Danio rerio: one gene and its partner. The protein of the gene in region 2 interacts with the protein of the main gene of each other region in a pairwise test. Links are inferred from orthologs where the notes say so. Each region holds a gene or a part of one and is shown on either strand. Other genes may lie near its edges.

Evidence for each region.
Region 1: the proteins of atpaf2 (region 2) and pkp4 interact in binary tests that used the Homo sapiens proteins (3 or more experiments, as listed by UniProt). The two-hybrid records come from large-scale screens. The link is inferred for Danio rerio from reciprocal best matches to the Homo sapiens genes ATPAF2 and PKP4.

The regions. Positions count from the first base shown.
Region 1 is NC_133181.1:13,204,190-13,216,810, forward strand, and holds part of pkp4 (plakophilin-4), read right to left. Parts: intron 10,802-12,621; exon of another isoform or gene 10,613-10,801; intron 10,115-10,612; coding exon 9,918-10,114; exon of another isoform or gene 9,412-9,917; coding exon of another isoform or gene 9,376-9,411; intron 4,957-9,375; coding exon 4,524-4,956; intron 1-4,523. UniProt on the Homo sapiens protein: Plays a role as a regulator of Rho activity during cytokinesis. May play a role in junctional plaques.
Region 2 is NC_133187.1:20,031,610-20,044,352, reverse strand, and holds atpaf2 (ATP synthase mitochondrial F1 complex assembly factor 2), read left to right. Parts: upstream 1-6,765; 5' UTR 6,766-7,009; coding exon 7,010-7,145; intron 7,146-7,225; coding exon 7,226-7,270; intron 7,271-7,381; coding exon 7,382-7,530; intron 7,531-9,471; coding exon 9,472-9,569; intron 9,570-9,658; coding exon 9,659-9,739; intron 9,740-9,834; coding exon 9,835-9,947; intron 9,948-10,037; coding exon 10,038-10,153; intron 10,154-10,234; coding exon 10,235-10,372; 3' UTR 10,373-10,654; downstream 10,655-12,743. UniProt on the Homo sapiens protein: Plays a role in the assembly of the F1 component of the mitochondrial ATP synthase (ATPase).

The DNA of each region.
Region 1 (12,621 bases), on a different chromosome or scaffold from region 2:
ACTTTATAAGAGTGGTGTAGAAATTTCAGTTGATAGTTCTGGCTTGGTCAGGATGGAAGAGAAAATCGGTTTATGGATTTAAGATTTATGGAATCAAGTTTTATAAATGAGAAAAACTATTTGACAAAAATCATTGATTTATAAAGTGCTGTTCGGATGTTTGTGATCATTAAGATAATTGAAAGAATTCTCTTATGCTCACTTCAACATTTGTGCTAACTACAAAAATTTAAATACAGTAATGCTGTGAAATGTAATACCCCTGTGACAACAACACCGAATTTTCAACTGCCAATCTTCTGTCACATGAACCTTCGAAATGTTCAAAGACATTTCTTTTAATCACAGTTGTAATAGAATGTCCTGCTCAATATTTCTACAGAAACTGAGCTTTGTTTTAGGATTGCATAATATATCTGAAAATATTAGTTATTGTGATAATAGCATGTGCAATATATGTATCACACACATGTGTGATAAATCACATTTATTTTATGCACTGGTCATCTATCTAAATTTGACCAATCAGATGGGGACTTACTATCTTTATCCCCACCTCCTCATTAGTCGATGTTCTTTCTATTGGCTGGAGCTGCCCAAATGATGAAACCAGAGCTGAAAAAATAAACACTGATGGCGGAAATCGAGACGAGAGGAAAATGACAACAGCCAGTCAGAGTCAGAATATCTGCTGAGGTTTTCACTCATTCATAGTGTTTTAAAGACTTAAGCTGGATTAATACATCCGCCAGGCACCTCTGCGCACCTCTGCTGATTGTGTGCTCACCTCCCGAAACGGACAATGCTTTTATACTTGCTCCATTCACCGTTGTGAAATTTTTTAAGGCCGTACTCACACTAGTTACAGTTGCCTCGAACTGGGCTAAAGCACGCTTGTCCCCCCTCCCGTCTCCCTCGACAGCCCGCGCTAACACCACAAACGGGCCTCGGCACGCTTACGTCATCGCTGCTGTGCTGTTCAGTGAGAAGCGCTCTCTCACTCAGCAGCACAGTGGAGATTTCTCTAGTTATATCGTTTGAGTCGTTTGTTATGCAGTGACATGCAGTCAAATATTTCGCCAAACAGTCCTTAGGGATGCGGGGACACGCAGTCAGATATTTCGCCGAACAAATACGCCACTTTTGGCGCTCATAAACAATCATAAAGCTCTCGTGCTGCAGGAATGAGGAGGTCTGCTGAAGCCGCGCAGCTGTCGTGCTGTGAGGAGTTCTCGTCTTTAAAAAACTACGGCAGTTTGCGTTCACTAAACAGTAAGAATGAATAATAAATCCATATGAAACAGCCCCTTAAAAGTCACTTCTCGCTTTCAGTTTCGGGCTTTGGCGCGTTTTGCACTCACACACAAGCGTACCGCGCCAAAGCCCAAGTGAACCGCGCTTAGGCACACCTCTTCCAACCGGGCCAGAGCCGGCCTTGTGAACCGAGCTTGAGCCCGATTCATCGCACTCACACTTCTCAAACGATCCGGGAAACGGGCCTAGGCACGGTACGGATGGCATAGTGTGAGTAGGCCCTAAAACGACAGGGGGCGGTCAAAAGAAGCTGACCGTAAAGTCAGAAAGATAAAAAGAGAAGTAGAAAGTTTCCGGAAGTACGTCATATCATTAATATTGCTCAAGATTTTGAAACTAATTATTTGTTATATTTTTTTAAATGATTTTAATGATTATAATAATTTTTTATAACCATTCAAGATTTTTTAAATCAATTTTTAATGCATCAATTGCTATTGTTGTATATTTGGGACAGTTTTACCAATTAAAGTTTATTAAAATATTAATGAAAGGAGAACATGGGTTACTCTACAAATATTTATTATGGCAAGATTAAAAGTACCTAGGGCTGGGCGATTTAGCAAAAAAAAAAAAATCTAGGTTTTTTATAAAGTTTGACCGATTCACGATTTCGATTTTTTTTATTTTTTATTATGTAACTTTTTTTATTGTGTAACTAGTCTTCTCAAAACATTACAACAACATGACTGAAAGTAACTTGAAAAACCATCTGGTTAAGGAACATTGTATTTTAAATGGGCATGTCAAAAAAAAAATCGGTCAAGGTGTAAAAAATAAAACAAACTCACGAGTTAAATATCGTTGCAGAAGATTTGAATAAGAAATATTTGTGTAAATATTGCGGTTGCAGGAATACAGAGGTATTTTTTGCAAGTTTTGCTGAGCCTAGGAAAGATTGGCTGTCGGCTCGGCTTTGACTTTGTCTTCTTCTGATTGAATGTCAGGTTGTAAAGCTGCTGCCTTTTTCTTAAAAAGATACAGTGGAAGAAAAGGACTGAACATGGAAACTGTAAAGCCTAATTTAACCCAATGTGTGAAGTTGTGGACGTATAGTAGGAGCAAATACAAGCACCAGATGTGTGTCTAATATAAAATAATATATTTAATCTATTTTTCTTTTTCCCCCCTTTTAAATACTGATCATTTGATGCGCTTTGCTCCACTCTCTGTATTATGCTGCCTGATCTGTCTGGTTTTCAACTAGGTCCGCTAAATGACGTCATGGGGGCGGGTACTTTCATTTTCACTGCTGCAGGCCCTCACCTCTGCTCGTGTTCAAAACAAAAGATCGGCGCGGTTTTTCACAGGCTTTTACGTCCTTCATACATGTTGAGAACAAGTTTATCGACTTGAGGAGGGAATATGTCTTGACAATCCGCACAGACGTGCAACAAGTAAAATCCTACATGAATTCACACTTTAACAGGCAGTCAAGCAGGTCGCACACCAGAAGCGCCACGACACAGCGCGGACATGACATTTTAAACTATCACACACCAAACGCGCACATTCCCATGATATTTAACATGAAACTAATCAGATGGCGCTCTGTGGGCCGGCTGAAATGAGAACTGCTTCGTGAACCGTGGCTGGGCGGCGCCGGTGTGTGTACAGAAACCTGTTTAGAATTCTAAAATCCATGGCGTGGTGCTGTGCGGCGCATCGCCGAGAGGCGCTTCTGGTGTGCTTCCTGCTTCATACAGAGAGAGAACCAAAGCGCATTAGTGCCATTATAATGGATAAAATATATATGTTTTTTTTTTAAATCGCGATTTCTCGATTTGATTAAAAATTAAATCGTCTTAAAACGTAAATTCGAATTATTCGAAAAAATCGCCCAGCCCTAAAAGTACCCTTGCTAAAAAATACAGATGTTTTTTTATATTTTATATCTGCTTCACAATTCACACATGATTGGCTAGTTTCTGTCCTATATTGATGCTAAAAAGGCAATAATGGTTCAACATTCCTGACCATTATCACCAGTAAAGCCAAAAATATTAGAGCATCAGTATATTGTAAACCATAGTTACTTATATCAGGGTACGCACACCAGTGCCGCATGTCGGTGGCTGTTTATGGTACCCAGCTACGACTCAGGACACTAAATAGTTTTTCTTTAAATAACATGCGAATGTGTGCATCTGGTGTGCGATACTTCCAACTGTCATGTGCGTGCTATGAAGCGGCACATCTGGTGTGTGACCCCCTTAAGGCTACATCTACCTAAACCGGTTTTTGTCTAAAAACACTCCATGTCCACATTAAAATTTAAAATTCTTTCCATCATCCACACTAAAAGGACTGAAAGTGCTTTAATTCAGTACTGCGCATGCACACAGATGTAAGACAATTTTAGCTACGTCATTTACACCTGGCATTTAGTTACTTTCAGTCTCTTTAAATCTTTTCGTAACTATCGTCTGCTTTCACAGCTTAACATTAGCTCTCCAGTAAATGTTCTGTGTCCTTGGAAGAGAGGCAATATGAATCATGTATAAACTGACATAAATCATTAATAAAGCTGTAATAAAACAGACAGCATCCAAATCATCTGCTTTACAATGTCGTCCACTATGTTAGCTGAATTGGTTACATGACTAAAATGAGTCATCGTTTTCAAAAGCCTCCTTATTCAAGGTCCACACTGCAATATAAAAATGCCATTTTTAAATTTGATCACTTTGGACTGTGTTTTTAAAAACATGTTTTCATTTCCTAAAAATACCATCTCGGTGTGGACGGAAGGTCAAAACGAAGGAAAAAATATGCGTTTTTAAACTAAAACATATTAGTGTGGACATGGTTTAAATTATTGCACCTTGACACCGTTTTTTAGTCTGAATTAGAATTAATTTGATTATTTTGATATCATTAAATAAATATATTATTTCAAAACATGGCTAAGAAAAAGATTTTTTGAGGGAAATGTTATACCGTAAGAAATATCGTTATCGCAACACTAAACAACACTGCACATTATTCCAGTATCATGCAGAGCTAAATAGTTTGATAAATAAAATGTCCAACAGCATTTTAAATCTTCATAGCAAGGTGAAAGTATTCACTATGACTCTTAATCAATTCCTTTTTTTTTTATTAATTAAAAAATTCTTACTGATCTCAAACCTTTGAAACGTAGTGTATGTGTACTTTAGAAACACCTCTAATTGTAAATCATGACAGGTTGTGTGAGTATAACTCACCTGTAAGGCTGTCCGGTCTTGAAAGAACCATCCTCTCAAAGATGTCATAGGCTCGAGAGCCAAAAGAAGAGTGAGTGCTCTCATATGCACGTGTATCGTGCTTTCCCAGGGTCCCATACTGCTGAGGCTGAGCAGTCATTCCAGCTCGCAGGAGTGTTGGTGACCCAGACTCAGACCCCGTCCCGTTTCCATGCCGCCCTAGGTAGCTGGAGTGGAGCGGGTCAGGAGCGTGGCTGGAAGCAGGAGGCAAGGTGGTGCCAGGAAATATGCTAGGTAGAGGACGAGGCTCTGAGACTATGGGTGAACCATAGGGGCTTCCGAGAGAAGTACGCAGAGGCTGGCGGGACGCAGGTGGAGACGGTGTGTAGAGTGGAGATGGAGCACGAGAGGGAACAGAGCTGACCCGCCTCATGACACGCCCACTGCTGCCCACCTGAGAAACACATCACAGAGAAACATTTATAATAATAACTTTATAATTTGAACAATATAATTAACATAATAATAGTAATAATATTATTAAATTAATATCATTATTAAGGGTAAAAAGAAAACAAACATTTTTTGAGCTGTTTACAGTCATATATGTGTCCCACGCTGCTAAAAACACTATTAGGACACATATAATTTACTAAAAAGTAAAAATTGGTTGTTTTCGCGTTATTTCAAGCAAATTCGTTCTTCCATTTTGAAAATACATTTTTTTAAGCTACGTTACGATTAGATCCTTGTGTAAATTCCAGCGTGGAGACTGGATGTCTGTACCGGCCAGTACAACATGACGTCTTTGAGCTTTAAGCATTAATTCATGAGAAAGAATTCCAAGTCTTTCCAGACCACTAATCAGTGTACTCTATTGTCTATGAGGTCCACCTTTATTATTATGCATGATAGCTTTGAAGACTGTTTTTATCCGTTACAGTGTTCAGATGGCAGAGAGACGCCACATTGTGTTGCCAACCATAATTAAAACAAGTGGAAGAAGAAGAATTGTTTGGAGACATGGGTCATCAGTGTTGTTTATAAATGTGCTGCAAGAAAGGTTTTGTTTCCATTTACCCGCTAAGAAAGTACAGCTGGACTCACGTGTGGATTACAGTGGTCTGCTAACAAGCAACAGAAATCTGTTTGTAAGGAATATATTTTTTTACCCGAGAGCTTTTCGTATCTGGAAATGGAAACATCAGGAATTACCGCTCGTTTCCTTTTAAAAAAGACGCGGTTCTAGTTGGTTTTGATTGTCCTTTCTTTATAGATTTGGTAAGTGTGAGATCAGTGCTCTTTGTTTATGTTTATTCAGATGGCAAAGTTAGGTAGTATTGTCAGCAGTACTCTTTCAGTTTTTAAAGACATACCATAGTCAAAATGATTTAGTTACTAAGGGTGCTTTCACACCTACACTTTTGTTTCAGAACGTATCTCGTTTGCCCATTTAGCGTGGTTCGTTTGGCATATGTGAACAGGGTAATCGCGCTCTGTTCCGCGCCAAAGTAATCGCTCCGAGATCGCTTGAATGAGGTGGTCTCGGCTCGATTGAAACGAACCCTGGAGCGGATCGACTGCAGTGAGAAAGCGATCCGATCGCGGTTATATCACAGTGTTTTATGGATATGTAATAGGCTTACGGCTATATGAAGAGAGAATTATGAGCAGGGCGGGAAGTTTCGCGAGTCTCCGGATGCCCGCAAACAAGTGATGATCTCCCGGTAATCTTGCGTCTCCCTCCCGGTCCCCAAATAGGCATCGTCACGCACCCTTCTAACCCCTCCCCACCGCGTCTCTCCTCAGACACGTCGCGCGCGTGCACCCTGTCAATCACCACCAAACCACCACCTCTCCTGACAGCTGAGCGGGACGCTGCAAAATAAACCCTGACACTCTGACCAATGGGAGGAGAGTTTACTCGCACGTGACTTGTTTTAGCTCTTTTGGTCCGATTAGAAACTTTGCAGTGTGAATGCGAACCGCTCCAAGAGCAAAGAGCAACAATGTAACAATTGTAATCTCTGTTTCGGAACAACTGAATCGATTCACAGGTGTGAAAGCACCCTAAGTTTACAGTACGGTAATATCACTACAATAATATGGGCTGAAACATAGACTGTAATTGCTGCTCTCTGAGTGTAAACATGTAAACACTTTAATCAAACTATTTCCATCATGTAGAATTTTCGCCGCATCTTGTGACAGGATAGTCTATACACATACAGATTTCTAACGCTACCTACAGAGTGCATCTAAGTTACCGAGAAATGCGGAAAGTTTTTTTTCTCCCATTTGCCGTGCGGTATCAAACATCCCATTAAAACTACATTCTTCCAGCAGTTCCTTGCATCCAACATCTCATTTTTCGCAGGGGGCATGCATGAAATGTTCCTGAATGTCAAACTGCAGTAAAAGTCAACAAATTAAGAATGTGGCAAATAATTTGATTACTGGTGTCCATGTAAACAGTCACTGTCTTTCTCTCCTGCGTCTGTGTGTTGTTTTAAAAATCAGCACTTGCTCAAACTGAAAACTTCCATTTTTATGCAAACCCTTCCCTCTTTTGCCACTCGACACTCCCACCTAAATAGAGCTGGAGTCACCCACTTTCCTAATTTTTTTCAAACTAGGTGTGAAAACACCCTGCTGAGACAGGGAGAGTTTAATGGCCCTTTAAACTTATAACACTCATTTAAATCTTAATACCGGGCCAATAAGATGAATGACAACTCAGTGATTTTTAAGCTTTATTTTAGTATAACCGAGATACTATTGTAGGTTTTATTTGTTTTTATTTTTGTTGTGCTATTTAAATATTTCTGTTCATTTAAATAGTTTTTATTGATTTAAATGTGAAAAGCATAAAAAAATACTTCCACAGCACTTACTCATTTTAGTTCATATTTTTTCAGCATTTACTAATACATTAAACTGGATCTTTTGTTTAATGCCAAGTCAACTTCAATGCAAACACTATTCAGAACAATACAAATAATAAATACAATAAAACAAACAAAACGTGTATCCCATTACATTTTCCATAATACAGATATTTTCTGGCAATGCTTTACTTAAACAGGTCTTTAAGTGACTTCATAAAAAGCCTTCTGCAATATATTATTAAAATAAAGATAAATATTTTGGCTAATGCATTGTGAATTAAAGCAATTTCATCTTTAATAATGTTAACTAAGATTAATAAATGTCAAACAAACATATAGCTTACTGTAAGTTTAAGTTGCCTTATATAGATAGACCTGTCATAAGGAATTTTTGTTGTGCAATATATTGTCCCAGGAATTGTTGCTATAAGCGATATTATTGTCATGTTGAGATCATTTTATGCCAATGATTGTATAATGACTATATAATAATGCATATAGTCATAAACACTTTAAAACACTTATCATTCTTAACGTTATTTAGATTGTAAAATTTGACGTTATTTCCTAGTGATGAGTTGCAGCTGGATGGGCATCCGCTGCGTAAAAAAACATATGCTGAATAAGTTGGCGGTTCATACCGCTGTGGCACCCGCAGATTAAGAAAGATACAAAGCTGAAAAGATAATGAATTTGATGTTAAAAAGGTTAAGGTCCTATTATATATACTATTAAATGTCTTATAAGGTAAATGTCCAGTTATAAATGTTGACACTGGCAAGGTAGAACGTAAACGTAATAGTAAAATGGCTTTAACATTATTTGTGAATTTGTAAAAATATATTGCAATGACAATAATTATTGAGGTGATATTCAAGTATTGCGCAATAAAGTCGATATAATGATTATTGTGACAGGCCTCAGCTTATATATTATATAATGTCAACAAAATGAGTTTTAGTGAATTTTTTTTTATATCAGGAGAAAGAAATTTTATTTTTTAGTTAGGGTTGAACAAAGTTCAAATAAAAAAAACTATAAATATTATATTGACAACTAACTGAAACAAATAATTTTTTTAGTAATTTATTCATTTATTTTATTTTCGGCTTAGTTCTTTTATTAATCCGGGGTCACCACAGCGGAATGAACCACCAGCTTATCCAGCACATGATTTAAGCAGCGAATGCCCTTCCAGCTGCAACCCATCTCTGGAAAACATCCATACACACTTATTCACACTCATACACTACGGATAATTTAGCCTACCTAATTCACCTATACCACATGGTCTTTGGACTGTGGGGGAAACCCATGCGAACGCAGGGAGAACATGAAAATTCCACACAGAAACGCCAAATTAATTTATTTTCATAGTGAAATTAAAGGGATAGTTCAACCAAAAACGAACATTCTGTCATTATTTACACACTATCCACTTGTTCCAAAAAATCTTGTGACAATTTTGAATACAAAAGAAGATATTTTGCAGAATGTTGGAAACCGGTAACCATTGGCTACAAGAGTATTTATTTTTTGTCAACAATGGATGTCAATGGTTGCAGGTTTTCAGCTTTCTTAAAAAATATCTTCTGTGTTCCACAGAAGAAAGAAACTCAAAGGTTTGTAACCAACTGAGGGCTAGTAAATAGTGGGTCAATTTTTGATTTTGGGTGAACTATCCCTTTAATGTTACAGTTTTAGTCTGTCACACCATAAACCAAACATAACAAACCATCAGCAAGCATATTAAAACCTTCTTGTAAAATCTCTTGGCAAAGCATTGTTTTGGTATGATAACAAGAATGGCTTTCTACACGTCTTATTGCTTTCAAAAGTTAACACTGAGCTTTTATTTTGGAGGAAAGCAGGAAGTGCTTAATGCTTCTCGATAAAACTACTCTCATAACAAATTTGACATAGTTACAACGTTACGTTTCAAACCAAGTAGTTTGTACTGTACTTTATAAGCGACCCAAACTCACAGCGTTTGCAGAGAAGGAGTACATATGGAGCAGCATTTGCTGTGACCAAATCCGCTCTGAAAACACCGGATCCCCGCATATAGACACACACTGCGCCGCGCTTCACCAAACATACCACGCCTCATCCTATTTCTGTACTTAAAGCTCAGACTTTGCTGTTAGAATGGCAGTTTCATAACATCTTTCCATATTATTATTATTATTATATCGCGTTTAATAGCGGCTCAGCGAGTAAATCTCAGACCCTCTCTGAAATACAGGAGTGTCCCACGCGCACACTCGCTAGAGGGCGCCGCTTTATCCTCCCGGGCTGTCGGAAGAAATCCGTGGATGAGAAGTATTTGAAAAGCAGGATTTTGCAGTTTGTTTAGTGACTGTTCAAGACAACTTTGCGAGTCACGTACATCAGAAAAACTCAAGTCGGAATACAATTCTACATCGCTCATAACAATGGACATATATTATTCAGTGCTAATGATCCCTGAAAAAAACAAACACGCCAGGAAACGTTAATATAGTGGTGTTTGAGTGAGTTTTCATACCTGTGCAGAGGCCTGTCCTTCAGCCCTGGAGCTCATGGCGAGGGTGGGGCTTCCGCTGGGGGCGGAGCTGGTCGACTGTGACCTCCCTTCAGACCGCCTGGGCGTCACCGTGTTACTGTAGTAACCGCTCACCTCCTGATATCCGCTATCTGAGTAGGAATTCATCTGAGTCGAGCTGCGCGAGTTTGCAGCAGACCCTGAGCAAGCGAGAACAACAAAACACTGAGACAGGCAACTGATTTTTCAGTTCAGGAATGGTAAAACATTTGAACTATGGATTGCTGGGTTAAAGCTCCATCAATTGAATCCGTGGCCTGTGTTCGATTATACAGCAAATAACGCCTCATCGCGCAGGCTGTAAAAGCAAATGAGAATACACACACTTTGATACCAAGTCTACGTTAAACCTAACATGTTGTGATACTTGTTTTACTGTAGTATCAGCAATATTTGCGAGTGATCATTCTTGAGCAGCTGCAGTAAACGGCTCCAGCTCTCATTAATGTAAACAGACGGGATAAAAGCGGAATGTTTTGCTGTGCCTGAGGCCACAGTGTGTTAAAGGTACATATTTATTCAGTAGTTGGCTAACATTAGCAAAGCTGTTCTTCGTGTTGTTAGAAACTGCACTGCCATCTATCGACGTGGCTCGAGTTTATGCAGATATCACGCATTAACTGATTCTCTTAACTTACCTGTCTAATAAAATTGCATCAGCCATTTAACCCGTTGTACGTTGAATCGATGTTTACGCTCATATTTGTCTTTGTTGGTGTTTCTGGCTTGCGACCGTTTCTGCTTTCTCGGCTGCACAGGTACTGTTTACCTGTACGCGATAAAACGCGCTGCCCATTGTTTAATTTTCGCTCCGCACGTCATCAGACAACAGTGTTCAGGGGCTGCAGCCAATGAGCGCGAAGACGATAGTCACGTGATTTTAAAACAAATTTTCTTTTTCTTCTTATAACATTTAACAGTTTGAAAAATCTAAATGCCAGGGGGTAAGTATAAATCAAATACAAATATACAGAATGTACATATGTAATAATCTAATAAATACATTGTAGAATTTACAAAGTTTTAATGTGCATAGGGCTTTCTCTGATACTACTAATATATAAACATAATTCAGTCATCGGTTCCCTAAAATTCGCTTTCTTATTAGTAAATTTACAATTTTGAATGTAAAATTTTGTGGGCAAAATAAGTAAATTATTTAAATAAAAACATAAAAGCGGAATATTTTGCTGTGCCTGAGGCCACAGTGTGTTAAAGGTACATATTTATTCAGTAGTTGGCTAACATTAGCAGAGCTGTTCTTCGTGTTGTTAGAAACTGCACTGTCATCTATCGACATGGCTCGAGTTTATGCAGATATCACACATTAACTGATTCTCTTAACTCTTCTGTCTAATAAAATTGCATCAGCCATTTAACCCGTTGTACGTGGAATCCATTTAAAATGTACATACGATGGATAGAGGACAATGCAGACTTTGGTGTGCAAATCAAATCAAAGGCAGCTTCTGCTTGACTAGTGTATTCAGCATTGAACTCCACTGTGTTATAAATGTGATTGTTTATGTTTTTATTGCAATAACTTATTATTTTAAAAAGTGATGCTGCATTTGTTAATATGATTTAAAGAAATGTTTTCTTTTTATTTTTTTAATATTATTAAACTAGTTAAGAAATTAACAATGGTAATTTTGATGTAAAATAGTTTGGTATGGTTATCTTCGGCCCACGGCTATCAATGATATTTGGTTATTGGCCCTTCATACGAAAAAGTTTGGGCACCCCTGGTTTATTATAACCTGTTTATTTTGTTGATTAAATTTCATATTGACAAGTGTACATTTTCCAACAAAATTGTTTTATAAGGAACTAAAACATTACTTTTGTACTATTGTACTGTGATTGTAAGAATTTTCTTACAATGTATACATTTGTTTTGTGTGTGTATTTGTTTTGTTTCCTAATTTATATTTTTATTATTATTATTATTTACCTTCTGTCACCCTGACATTGTATTGTTTGTCATGCACATGTTATTTAAAACAAATAAAAAATATAAAAATAATTCATTATTGGAATACAAGCATGTTTTATTTTTTTATAATGAACCTTTGGAGAGGAATATTTGTTTTGTTCTTAATTTGATTATAATGGGCAAAAAGTATTCCTAGTTTTGAGCAATTTAAGTTTGAGCTTTATTATCTAAAATCTAAAATTTTATTATTTTAGAGTGTAAGAAATACTAAAGACAAAAATACTATAAACTGTTGTAAAGCCTTTAAATATGACCTCTTTAAAGGAGTATGTTTTAGCATTATTACTTGTCATTATCACTACTATATGTGTAATTACGGATTAAACTAATATTAAAATCAGTCTTCATCTCATGTATTTTTTTTATTAATAATATTTTAAACATGAAATAAGCTACTACACTGGGCTCTTTAAAATACTTGTAAAACACATCAATATTTGTAAAACACAGTTCTTAAAGTATTTATTTGTTCTTCATTACTGACTATTTATTTAAACAATGTGGCTGAAAATATTAAATGTTTCCCTAATAGAAAAATAAATAAAGCTGCATGTTGTTCTAATTTAATTAGCTAATATTGATTCTAATGCTTAATTATTTATACAAACAATCACGTTTAACAACCTATTAGTTTCTTAATAATGAGAGTTA
Region 2 (12,743 bases):
ATGAACTATGAATGCAGAATGTTAAGGGTGCTGACTCTCTTGGGAAAAGTTTGATGGCATTTCCTTTTTCCTTATGTTCATTCACTCATTCATTCATTTTCTTTTCAGCTTAGTCCCTTTATTAATCAGGGGCCACCACAGCGAAATGAACCGTCAACTTATCCAGCGTATGTTTTATGCAGCAAATGCCCTTTCAGCTGCAACCCATCACTGGAAAACACCCATACACTCCTGCATTTACACACATACACTACGGCCAATTTAGCTTATTCAATTTATTTAGAGCGCATGTTTTTGGACTGTGAGGGAAACCAAAGCACCCGGAGGAAACCCACGGCAACACGGGAAGAACTTGCAAACTTCACACAGAAATGCCAACTGACCCAGCCGGGGCTCGAACCAGTGAGCTTCTTGATGTGAGGTGATTGTGCTACCCACTGCACCACCGTGCCGCATTTCTTATGTTCATATATTGTAATGAAGTAGAGATTTGTGCACAATGGTTATGGGGAATTAGCTCTGTTTATATATTATACATTTATGTACAAATGCTGCATATTGATCATTGTTTTGTTTTCTGCATTAACATATTTAGACATTTGGACAGTTGACAAAATTGATTTTTAATACATGAATAATTCTAAAGAGTATAATTTATGTGAAATTTTCATTATTTGTAGCTGTAAATATTTTCTGTCACTTTTGATCAGATGTATCAAGTAAGTAAGAGTATTTATTTCTTTGAAAATAAAATAATTGTAATGGAAACATTTGGAATATAGTGTGCCATTTTTATTGATTTAGTGTTTGATGTTGAGCTACTGTATAACTATGTGGGACTACAGTATGTCATCAATTATCAACATTAACAATGAAAACTAATGTTAATAAGTCAGCAAATTCAAGCTGAGCTTTATGCAATGCTTTCACTGTAATGCGCACCTTTTTTTATTTTTATTGTAAATATGCACAAACTTAGTACAAGAACATACGTCTCACAACAATTATGAACGGATAAAACAAAAAATAAAAATGAGAGAAATTATATACAATCAAAGTACAAACAGATGACAGAGGTAAAAAATAATATATATATATATATATATATATTATTTAATCAAATAAAATTTACATAATTCTTCGTATGTTTTTTAGCTTTTCTGTTTCTAATGTAGGCGACGCAGTGGCGCAGTCGGTAGTGCTGTCGCCTCACAGCAGGAAGGTCGCTGGTTCGATCCTCGGCTGCGTGGGTTTTCTCTGGGTGGTCCGATTTCCCCCACAGTCCAAAAACATGCAGTACAAGTGAATTGGGTTAGCTATGTGTGTATGAGTGTGTGTGTGAATATGTGTGTGCACTCAAAAAAATGAACTTTCCCTATTGTTAGTTTTACTAAACCCATCCTTGTTCACATTACATAAAACATAATAGTAATTAAATTAACATAAGTTTACCATGTTATTTCTACAAAAATGTAATACTGTAGGCTTTACTTAATAAGGGTTTGACAGGCCAACTTAACATTGTTGAGTAAAACGCAAAAACCTCTTAAGATTGGATATTTGCTGATACCGTCGCTGCCTACCTGGAGGCGGAGCAACGGAACAGTCAGAGAGAGGAACATGTGAAGCACATGAGGAGGAGAAGATGGTGGCTTTGTCAGGTATGAGTTTTTCATTAATCTTTAGTGTTAAATATCACCAGGAAAAGTGATGTGAGTGTTCACAGAATTATGTTAATTTATTATATCAGTGTATTATGGAGTCTTTTGAATTTTAGCATTTTTAGCCTGTTATACTGACTCGTGTTTCTCAAGGAAAGCATGTGGCAGTGCAAAGACTGCAAAATAACCATCACAACTAGATCACAGTTGTTGAAACACTATAGATTAGTGCATAGACATTGTGGTCGCGGTATTCGTTTTTCATGCACTTATTCTGAATGTCGCTGTAGATTTAAAACGTGGAGTGCACTACACAGCCATCTTAATTGTAGCCATGCAAAGGAGAACACGGGGTTACCTGCAAGTGTAATCACATTCAATTGCCATGTGTGTTCTTGCAGCCATATAGACTCAGAATGGGAGTATTTTAGTCATATCTATAAGAACCTGAAAACAATGAGACAGTACTTTGTATGAAAGCTATTCTTACTATAATCCTGTGTCTTAAATTTACAGATTGCTGCTGAATTCAGTCGAATCACTACTGTCCCACTAATTCAAACATTTTTCAAAACTGGATGGTTACACCAGCAAGCTGGACAGCATTTACCGTACAAAAGAAGAAATTGCAAAACGAAAAATTTGAAAACTCATGGCTACCATCGACAAGGTTTGTTATCTGTATTTATGATGCTTGTAAATAATTTCCACTTTAGTATGGTGTTTTTTTCATTGTATAAACCTAATGTCTCTTCTACAGAATGATGCCATCTCAACTTGGAGAGCTTGCATTCTCAGAGCACTTTCTGTGTATCTTAATGAAGACTATTAAAACCTCATGAAGGAGTATACAGTAAGTATAGTTCTCAGTCAGTTAATATTTAAAATGCCATCACATGAATTCACATAATATAGTCAAGGAATATCAATACACAAAGTATATTTACCTTGGGGTTGTCAAAAGAACAGACTTCAGCACCAGTCTGCACTGAAATAAAAGATTGTTATGATGCTAGCATTTTTCTGGGGAAATCTTGAGCACAGTCGAGCAGATTCTCAAGCATATTTGTCTAGGCAGATTAAGGTGGCAATTATCAGTGTTGCCAATCACAGTCACATCTGTTGAGCACAATAACACTGGCCAATTGAATTTCTTTGAAGGAATGATGATTTCTGCACATTTTTTAAAATTCAGTACAGAAGCCTGTACTTTTGACCACCCTAACAAACACAGTAAAGTAGTTTTGTAAGTCACTGCAGGTGCGTGATGTGAAAGATTAAGGAATGGACAGTTGATACAAAATTCTTTAAATTTACAATCTGTATTTTTGATGTAATTAAACTGAACAGTGATACTGTTTTTGTGTTTTGTAGGTGACAGACTTTGAGAGAGACATGGCAAATACTGTCATTAAAATCTACATCGTTAAGCCTGAAGGTTTAGAAGTCTGTGACCCACCATCATTTGCTGGACTGATTTTTGAGGGAGTAAAAGTGCTTCAGAACCTTGGCGATGTCACCAAGGCTTGTTCTCTTTCTTTGAGAGTCAAATACAGCGTGAATCTCAGTTATCCTTCAGACCTGAAATACACTTTTGAGTTTTTCAGAAAGTGTTGCTGGGACTTGCACATAAACTGTCACACAAAATACAAGTTCTCAAAAACAAACTTGTTGGCTGAATCAGTACATCATTCTGGACGAATGAAAGAAATAGAGGAAGAAGCTTTTTTGAGACACTTAAATTGTTTCTAGTTTTAAAATTAAGGGCCAATTTTAAAGTTATCTATAACGATGGCACCAAAGTTTTAAATGGAGTTCTACATCTTTAAATGGTTATAATTGTTTGATTATTTACAAAGATTCAGATTTTCAGTTTTATTCTTTTCTTTGCTTTTTTTAAATTCTTATGCTGCTTGTCTTAAACTTTCCTTTTCTTGTTCAAAGTAAAATTTATTACTTGCAGTTGCACATATTGAAAGAACATTTTGGTCAATAGTAAAACTTCTTTTATAATTTTTTTTATGTTTATTTTTTTTAAACAAGCTGTTGTTTTGTGGTGGTTTTCATAAATAAAGGTCAGTTGTATACTTTAACAATATATTAAACCTTTTGAAATATCAGCAATTGAGCATTGTAGCATTTTGTGACACTGGAAAAAAATGTCAAATTACTTTTGTAAATTTGCTCTTATACATTTTTCTTCCAATATTTGAAGTAGCACATTGTAAGAATGTTCACTATTGACCAAATGTTGCTTTTGCATTTTTTTCTTTCTTTTTGTACTTTTATTTGAACTGTTTGAGAATGTTTACAAAAATAGAGGCCAGTTTTAATGTTACTCTCACTGTTGATTGTAAAGATCAGAAATGAATTTTAGCAGTATTTTAACATTCCATGTACAATATTTTTCAAAGTAAGATTATTTCAGATTCTTAAAGCCAGTTGCACTTTAAAAGACCCTGTAAATGTTAACTGAAAGCATCTGATGTTTTAGTGTGTTTGTTTCAAAGGAAATTGAAATTGTTTTATGGGTTTTTAGCAGTTGTATGTTGCAAAACATTGCAAAGAAAATAAATTCATTTTGTTTCTAAAAATATGTTTGATTATTTAAGTTTTACACTTGTAGAGCACATACATTAGAAGTGAAATATATATATATATATATATATATATATATATATATATATATATAAATAAAGTGTTCACCTTACATACTAAAAGTTCATAATTCTAACATAACATTACTAAGTAAAATATACATAAAACTAAAATGCAATAATGACACATCTAAATGGGTTGAATGTACTAAGAAATATTTTGTAAACTTTACCTGGATTTCTTTAGTTCATTTAACTATATTGTTACTTGTTGAAACTACTCAACACAGTTACGTGGAACCACTTGACACTCTTTTTTTATGTAAGTCCAACAAATCATTTTTTTGAGTGTGGAAGTTCCCCAGAAATGGGTTGCAACTGGTGCAAAAAAGTGCTGGATAAGTTGGTTGTGGCAATCCCGGATTAATAAAGGGATTAAGCAGACAAGAAAATGAATGAATGAATGTTTCTAACGTGTAGTACCATATTGTTTTAATGCGCACACCTAACACAACCCATAACCCTCACAGTGACGTCACTAGCTCTATTGAGTGCATTGTGTCTGAGACTGCATGTCTGAAACTACGTGTCTAAACGGGCATATCCAAGACTGTATCCAGATACTATTGGGAAAATAATTGATTCGACTTTTGTTCAAGTTTCAGATGTTTACTGTGTTCTCTTGCACAATAAACAGAGAAAGTAAATTTCCCCCCAAAAAACCCTCATTCATTCATTTTCTTTTTGGCTTAGTCCCTTTATTAATCTGGGGTCGCCACAGCTGAATGAAACGCCAACTTATCCAGCATATGTTTCACGCAATGGATGCCCTTCCAGCTGCAACCAATCAATGGGAAACATCTATACAAACTCATTCACACACATACACCTGGGACAATTTTAGCTTACCCAATTCACCTTTCCCAATTTGGTCTTGTGGGGGAAACCGGAGCATCCAGGAAACATGCGAACAAGGGGAGGAGAACATGCAAACTCCACACAAAACTTTCAACTCACAACACATGAACTAAACATACAGTAGGTCTATGTATATTGTAATGTGTTGTAGGCTACATGTATAGACTACTCTATAGATAAACTATAGACTTATGTTTCAATTTATATCTCTTATTTATTCATATATTGGTGAAATCTGTGATATTTCAAAAGAACAATATAATCCTTTTTAGATTCTTTAGTCTATTTCACTAATATATAGGCCAATATATATATATATATATATATATATATATATATATATATATATATATATATATATATATATATATATTCATTGTGGAATTAGTTAATGTTGATAATGAAATGTTTTTATCATGCTGAAGAACAGAGGACAATCAAACAAATCAGAAACACAACCAAAAGAGGGCGCTATGCTGTTCCTTAGATCAGTTCTGGTGCATTACCCTACTGCTGCCCCATCAACTCATGTGTGTCCCTGGAGGGTTTTTGTATACTTGAAATTAATGATTTTTATTTTATGTATTATTTTTCTTTTTATTTGATTTATTTATTTCTCTCTCTTTCTCTAGAATATATAAAATAAATTAAATAAGCAGAACAAACTGATAATAAACATGAAGATTTTAAAACAAGATATTATTTAATTCTTTTTGCATTTGTCTTGTACATAGTAGATAAATAATTAGGTAATAACTAAGTGTAATGTAAATGTCTGCTCTATAAATTGTGTAATTTTTTCCATGTTTTAACAAACCAACAAATTAATGAAAGAAAGAAAGAAAAAAACATATAAGATAGAGATAATAAAACTGAAGCAAAAGAAAGGTGAATAAACCAGTTTATAGTAGCAACATATAAATATTCACTAATATATTCATTTAAATATTCCAAAAAATGTATTTAAGAATAACATTTTTAACAAATATTTTAAGTTATTTAAAGCTATGTTAATTTTTAATATTTAGAGCAGGACTTTCCCGCCCAACTTTTAGATGCCACAAACATTTTAATATCATTGCCCCCACATTAAAACATAAACATTTTTGTTAAAAAAAATTAAGGAAGTTACCTGAAGTTAATGTTTTGAAAACTGAAATTTTTTATTATTATATTCTTATTTGTTTTATTTTATTTTGATATATAATTTATTGTTTTATTTTATTTAAATAAAATATAATAATGTATTGTATGCTATTAAATATTTAATAATCGTTTAATTATTATGCTGTTTTATCAATTTGTTTCTGTTTCTCTTTTATTTTGTATTATAATGTGTGCTTATTATTTAAAAACTATATAGAATTATTTTAATCTTTTTAATTATTCAATTGCTATTTTTAATTATTAAAATCAAAATATTTTAATAGGTATATCACTCTCTTTTGTCCCTGGTAACCCATTCTGAAAGTTTGGCGCTAAATGAATGTTCGAAATGTTGGACTTTTCTCATAGATATTTATATAGCTATGGACTTTTATTATGAATTATCCTCTATGCTTTTTCCTGTTTAGGTCATCGTCAGTCCACTTTACGGCACGCTGTTTTCACTTTGCTGCATGCCTTTAAATACCTTCTAGTGTATTTGCTTGAATAATTGAGTTTATCTCAGATATACTCATTTCTTGTAATTTATACGATTAAAACATGAAAAATGCATTGTCAAATTTAATATAACACCATATCCGGCTTTTTAACCTTGACTGAATGGCTTATCACGCCTAAACTGTGGCATCAATACAAATACAAATTTACACACATAACGTTTAAAATATGCTACGAAATATATGTCGGTATCACACAAAGTTTGGCCAGGCAATTATTTGGCCGTTTTCATTTTCTTACGTGAAGCATGTTCCCAGTTTATCAACACAGCTACAAAAGGCAAAATATAGCAGTGCTACAGCAGGTAAGATATAAAAAGAAAAAAATAACTTAAAATGATAAACAAATATATTAATATCTTTGTACTTGCATTGTGTTTTGCAGAGAGGAAAAAGTTCTACGAGACTGTATCTATAACTCAAGGTGAAGGTGAGCATCATTCAGTACTGATGGCCATAACAGCACCTTAAAAGAAACATGTTTTCAATGATGAAGATCGAGGGTTTGCTCATATGAAAACACAGATTTTCTTGTTTATAGGTGGCTTGTTTGAAATAAACCTTGATAAGAGAAAGCTGAAGACCCCAAGTGGAAAACTATTCACAGTTCCCAATGAAGCTCTTGCCATTGCTGTTGCAAATGAGTGGGACGTTCAAAAGGACACATTGAAGTTTTACACTATGCACTTGGTAGGATATTATTTTTAATTTATATTATATTATTATTATTATACTATATTTTGGTTTCCCAAGTACTACTAGTATATTTGAAAGTTTTATTCTACAACTGTCTACAGAGTACATTCAAATGTATCTATAATACATACATAGTAGCATGGAACACATATTTTTATACACTCTTCAGAACTGAAACTTACAGTATTACAAGTCTACAAGACTAGTACCTTTATTTATACCCAAAATCTGTACTTTTTTGGTGTTTTTTCTTTTTAATTTTCTGCTGCAGACGATTCCATTCAAGAACCCCCTAAAAAGTACAGATTTTAGGTATAAATAAAACTGAAAGCTTAGTTTTTTTTTAAATTCTATTTTAATCATTTAAAAATTCTATTCAGTTAAAGGGGTAGTTCAGCCAAAAATTATAATTTGGTCAACAACAATACTCTGGGACTTTCTTTCATCTTTGGAACACAGATTAAGATATTTTAGATGGAATCTGAGAGCTCACTCACCCTTCATATAGACAGCAATGTACTTTTGTGCACACTTAAAGAAAAAATACTTACTTCATTCAGCGGTTTATCACCTCATTAGTAGGCCCACACGGAATATGCGTGTACAGAAATCTGCAGATTTCCGCAGATCTTTAGCCCATCATTCGGTGTATTTACTGTATTCACTTGTTTAATTGTGTGTGAATTTATATTTATTTAGTTTTTTTTTTTTTATTAATTTCACTAATATTATTGTGTTATAATAATAGTACTATTAAAATGTTCATATGATTTATTAACAATACAGTTAGTAATGTAATATTTTCTGTCTTTTTGTAGGTATATGATGTATTGCTTTCTTTACCAAATAGGTGGATGCAATTGGATTTGCACTGTAAACATTAAATAAAATTAAAAAATGTGTTGTTTTTTATTTAATATATTAATGCTGTAGTTATGATACTCCTAAAATCAATCTCTGCAGAAATTGCAAAAAATGTCTGCATATTGTGTCTTTTCCTATTCATTCATCTATGTTTCCATCCACCTATTTTTATGGTAATTTTGCAATATGCGCATAGAAAACCGGTTGATGAAAACGCCAAGATGCACATTTCATTTTGAAAAAGCTTAATGTGACTTTTCATTTTCATAAGGTTCCTTTTACAGCATCGATGTTTTACACTATCGATGCATTGATGACAAAACATTCAGTTAAATAGATACAAGCATTCATTTAGTTGTTCAACCATAAAACAAGATGAAAGATTGTGTAACCGCTAGCGCCATCAGGATCAGCAGGCGAGCGCAGAAACTCCTATACTGGGGTGAAATTAATTGTTATATTTTAAAGATATGACGGGGGAATAGAATTTAACGCAGTGCTTTTTGTCTGAGACTCATATATCTATATCTATCAGGCAGTGAAGGTCACTGATTAAAAAACAAACAAAAAAACTGACCTCAAACATGGCAACTTTATAATGGAAAGACGGAGGCCCTGTTAGGCTGAAATTAAAAGATTGTGTGCATATACCCCATTCTAAATAGTTATCGGTTATTGTTGTCGGTCAAAAATTCCAAATCGGTTCCACCCTATTAATAACATAATTTTCATTTTGGGGTGAACTGACCTTTTATGTAGTTAAAGATATTTGCATTTGCTCCTAGTTTTTTTTATTTATTTATCTATTTTTTATATGTTATTATTTGCATGTGTCTTTTTTCTTCACCTGGTTGTCATTTTAGATGAGAATTGGTTCTCTTAATTGATTTACCTGGTTAAATAAAGATATTTATTATTAAATACTAATGGATAATGTATCTAAAACATTGTCACAAGTACATATAAAATCAGTGTGTGTATATTCTGATAGTACATTCATTCCCAGTATTCCCAACATTCATAATGTTAAATGAATAGCAGAATCTAATAGACTGATTTCTGTCCCTACAGACCACCCTTTGTAACACTGCTCTTGATAATCCAACACAAAGGACAAAAGAACAGATGATCTCTGCCGCTCTGAAGTTTTTAGAAACAGACACTATCTGGTATGCTCACTGATTAGGTATAGTATTTCATTTATGCATCAGCTGATGGTTTTAAGGTTTCATTACATCAATTGTACCTCGCTTTGCAGTTACAGAGTAGAAGAACCTCCAGGCCTTGTGGAACTTCAGACAAATGAATGGGACCCTGTGATGAACTGGATTGAACAAAGGTAAAATTGACAGATTTTTGGTCAGAGTTTTGATTGTGTAATAATTACAAAAAGTTACAATTTACTGGTATATAAGAACGTACTGTTGTTTTTAGGTACAATGTAGTCATTGGCTCGTCCTCCAATATAATGGGCCCTCAAATCCCAGAAGAGACTAAAGAGACATTTCATCAGCACCTTAATTCCTTCAACTTCTGGTCTCTGACAGGTACGTTGGTTCTTTGTATCTCATGTAAATGAGCTTGTTTACAATAGACTTTGTGTAAATCTTATGTGAATGTGCTTGATTTTTCCTCAGGGCTTGAGTTTGTGATCAATCAGCTGAAGTCGCTGGTTTTGTCCTTTGCGCTGATTGACAGACACCTAAATGTGGAAGAAGCGGTTCTGTTGTCCAGACTTGAGGAAGAATACCAGGTATTTTGATTAAATTACTTTTAAGATTGAGACCATATTGTTCCTGTGGTAATAATTACTATACATTGTGTTCTGTCTTAGATTCGGAGCTGGGGAAATGTGGAGTGGGTCCATGATTATGACATGTATGAGCTGCGAGCGCGAACGGCGGCTGGTGCATTGTTTGTGCATCTGTCATCTGAAAAAACATCTGTGAAGAAAAAAATCTTACAAGACTGATAATGCCAAAAATAGACTGTGTGGGTCTGAAACTTTGGGAATTGTTATCTGTTTTTGTTTTTACAGTGACACTAGTTATCTAACCAGTAGTTATGTTTTGAGAAATAATACAGATTTCTAAGGTCATGATATGTATTTATAGTGTCAACAGCTATCACATGGAAACACTGTAAATGCTAAAACCCAGTATTTCAAACTCAATTTCAAAGATGTAAATGTTTAAGCTGTATGTTGGGGAAAAGAAAGAAACATTTTAATAAATTACAAAGTACAAACATCTAATTGTGTCTACGACTTTTTTCCTACACAGTTACAAAATGAAATAGTCCTCCCAAAAATAGAGTGACCAGGCATTTCTTTTTATTCCTGAGATAGTACTAGATTTCTGCTCCATTTCTAGTTTTCCAATAAAAAAAAAAGATAAAAATTGTGCCTCATTTAACATTTCCGAAAATGGCCAATTGCTGAGCACTAGTAAAGTTGTCTGTCACATAAAAAATAACATAAATCAATTGCAGCCAAACATGTCATAGTTTATTTCACAATTCTGTATTGAAGAATGTGTAGTTAGTCAAGACAGGGCCTGTGCTGTCAGGCTAGTTCTGGTGTCTGTGATTTACTATAGTTAAAGCAATTTAAAAACCTGAATGAACAAATAATCTCAAATAAACCTCAATTAATCTGTAAAACATTTTTTAAATAAACTGATGCCTCACCCATTACATTTAACTTACGAAAGTAAGTCAGAATGTATTCAAAACACATTAGCTAGCAGGGACAAGATTCATACAGTTCCCATTCAGCATTCCACTCTGAGAAATCTGGTAAAACTGGCCACAAGTAATACAAAAAAAAAAAAAAAAAAGTAAATTGTATTCCACCTCAGGCCATTAGATTTATAGCTTTGTTTTCTTCAGTACAAAAATTTTCAGCTAAAACCGGTGATTTATAACAAGCAAGTTAATAGTTACAAACACTGATCGTCCAAAAAAAAAAAAAAAAAAAAAATATATATATATATATATATATATATATTTATATATGTATATATACAGTATGTATGCAAAACCAGTGTTGGAGAAATTTACTTTAGAAAGTAATGCATTACAATATTGAGTAATGAATAAAAAGTAACTAGTTGTGTTACCTTTTATGTTAATACGTTACATTACATTTAAGCAATTTTTGCGTTACTTTTTATTACCTGGCTGAGGCTTGATCTCTTTCAGAACATGTTTGTTTCTTTCTTACAGCTACATTTACCTCTAAAAATGTTCACATAAAAATATTTTTAAATAGCTTTATCACACAGAGCTCTATTCACTTTATCAAATTAAATAAGTGTAGTTAACTCAAAATTTCAGTTAGTTATTTTTACTCATTTGAAGAGTTTTGAACTCAGTGTTGAAGGTAATAAGTTAATTAAATACTTAAACTTAGAGTAAGTTCACAGTACTCATACGGATTTTTTTTTTTCTAATATAATTTTTTCTATTTTTTTTTTTTTACTTAAATGCTTTGTTGCAATCGGTTTCCTCAAACGGTTTGAGTTGACTTAATTTATTGAGTTTTACAGTACTCAGTTGGTTTGAGTCTTTTAGTCAAATGGATTAAGTTCACAGTACTCATTTGGCTTAGTTTTTTAACTCAAATGGTTTGTAGTAAGGAGGCGCAATGTTTATGAAAAAGGGGGGGGGGGGGGTTAAAGAGCTATTTAAATGAATTAAAAAGTATCTCAAATGTTCTTACTTTTTTAGTAATGCCTTACTTTACTCGTTATTAAGAAAAGTAATATTATTACGTAACTCACGCTACATGTGCATTACCCCCAATATGGTCTAAACTAAATTGATGCCTGTGGCTCCTGATTAAACTTTGAGGTTTTATAAAGTGGTGTTATAACTACTGAACTACAAAGGACCAAAAAATTGCTTAAAATCTTTAATACCCAGCTAAAAAAAACACATCTTGAATGGTTTGAGAATGAGTAAAACCAGACATTTTCATTTTGGCCGAGCTCTCCCTTTAAGATCAAAGTCACATTAAAACATCGGTTGACCTAAGTGCATAGTCTGAAATACAATCTAATCCATAACGTAAACACCGTATGTGCCATAAAATATCAAACGTACCTGTGATAATCAAGCAAAGTCACGTAAACGGAATCACTACTGTTCCTTTAATTAGCTGGCGTGTCATTCCAATGACATACTGTGTGTTCGGCCAATACCTGCGCTGTCCTGAATTAAGCGACCAATGAGGATCGTCCGGGGGCGGGACTTTTGTGTTTACCGTCTCATTGAGTGTTAGTCGATGGGTATGTTGACAAGATGGAGTTCTTGCTGGGAAACCCATATAGTACTCCGGTGGG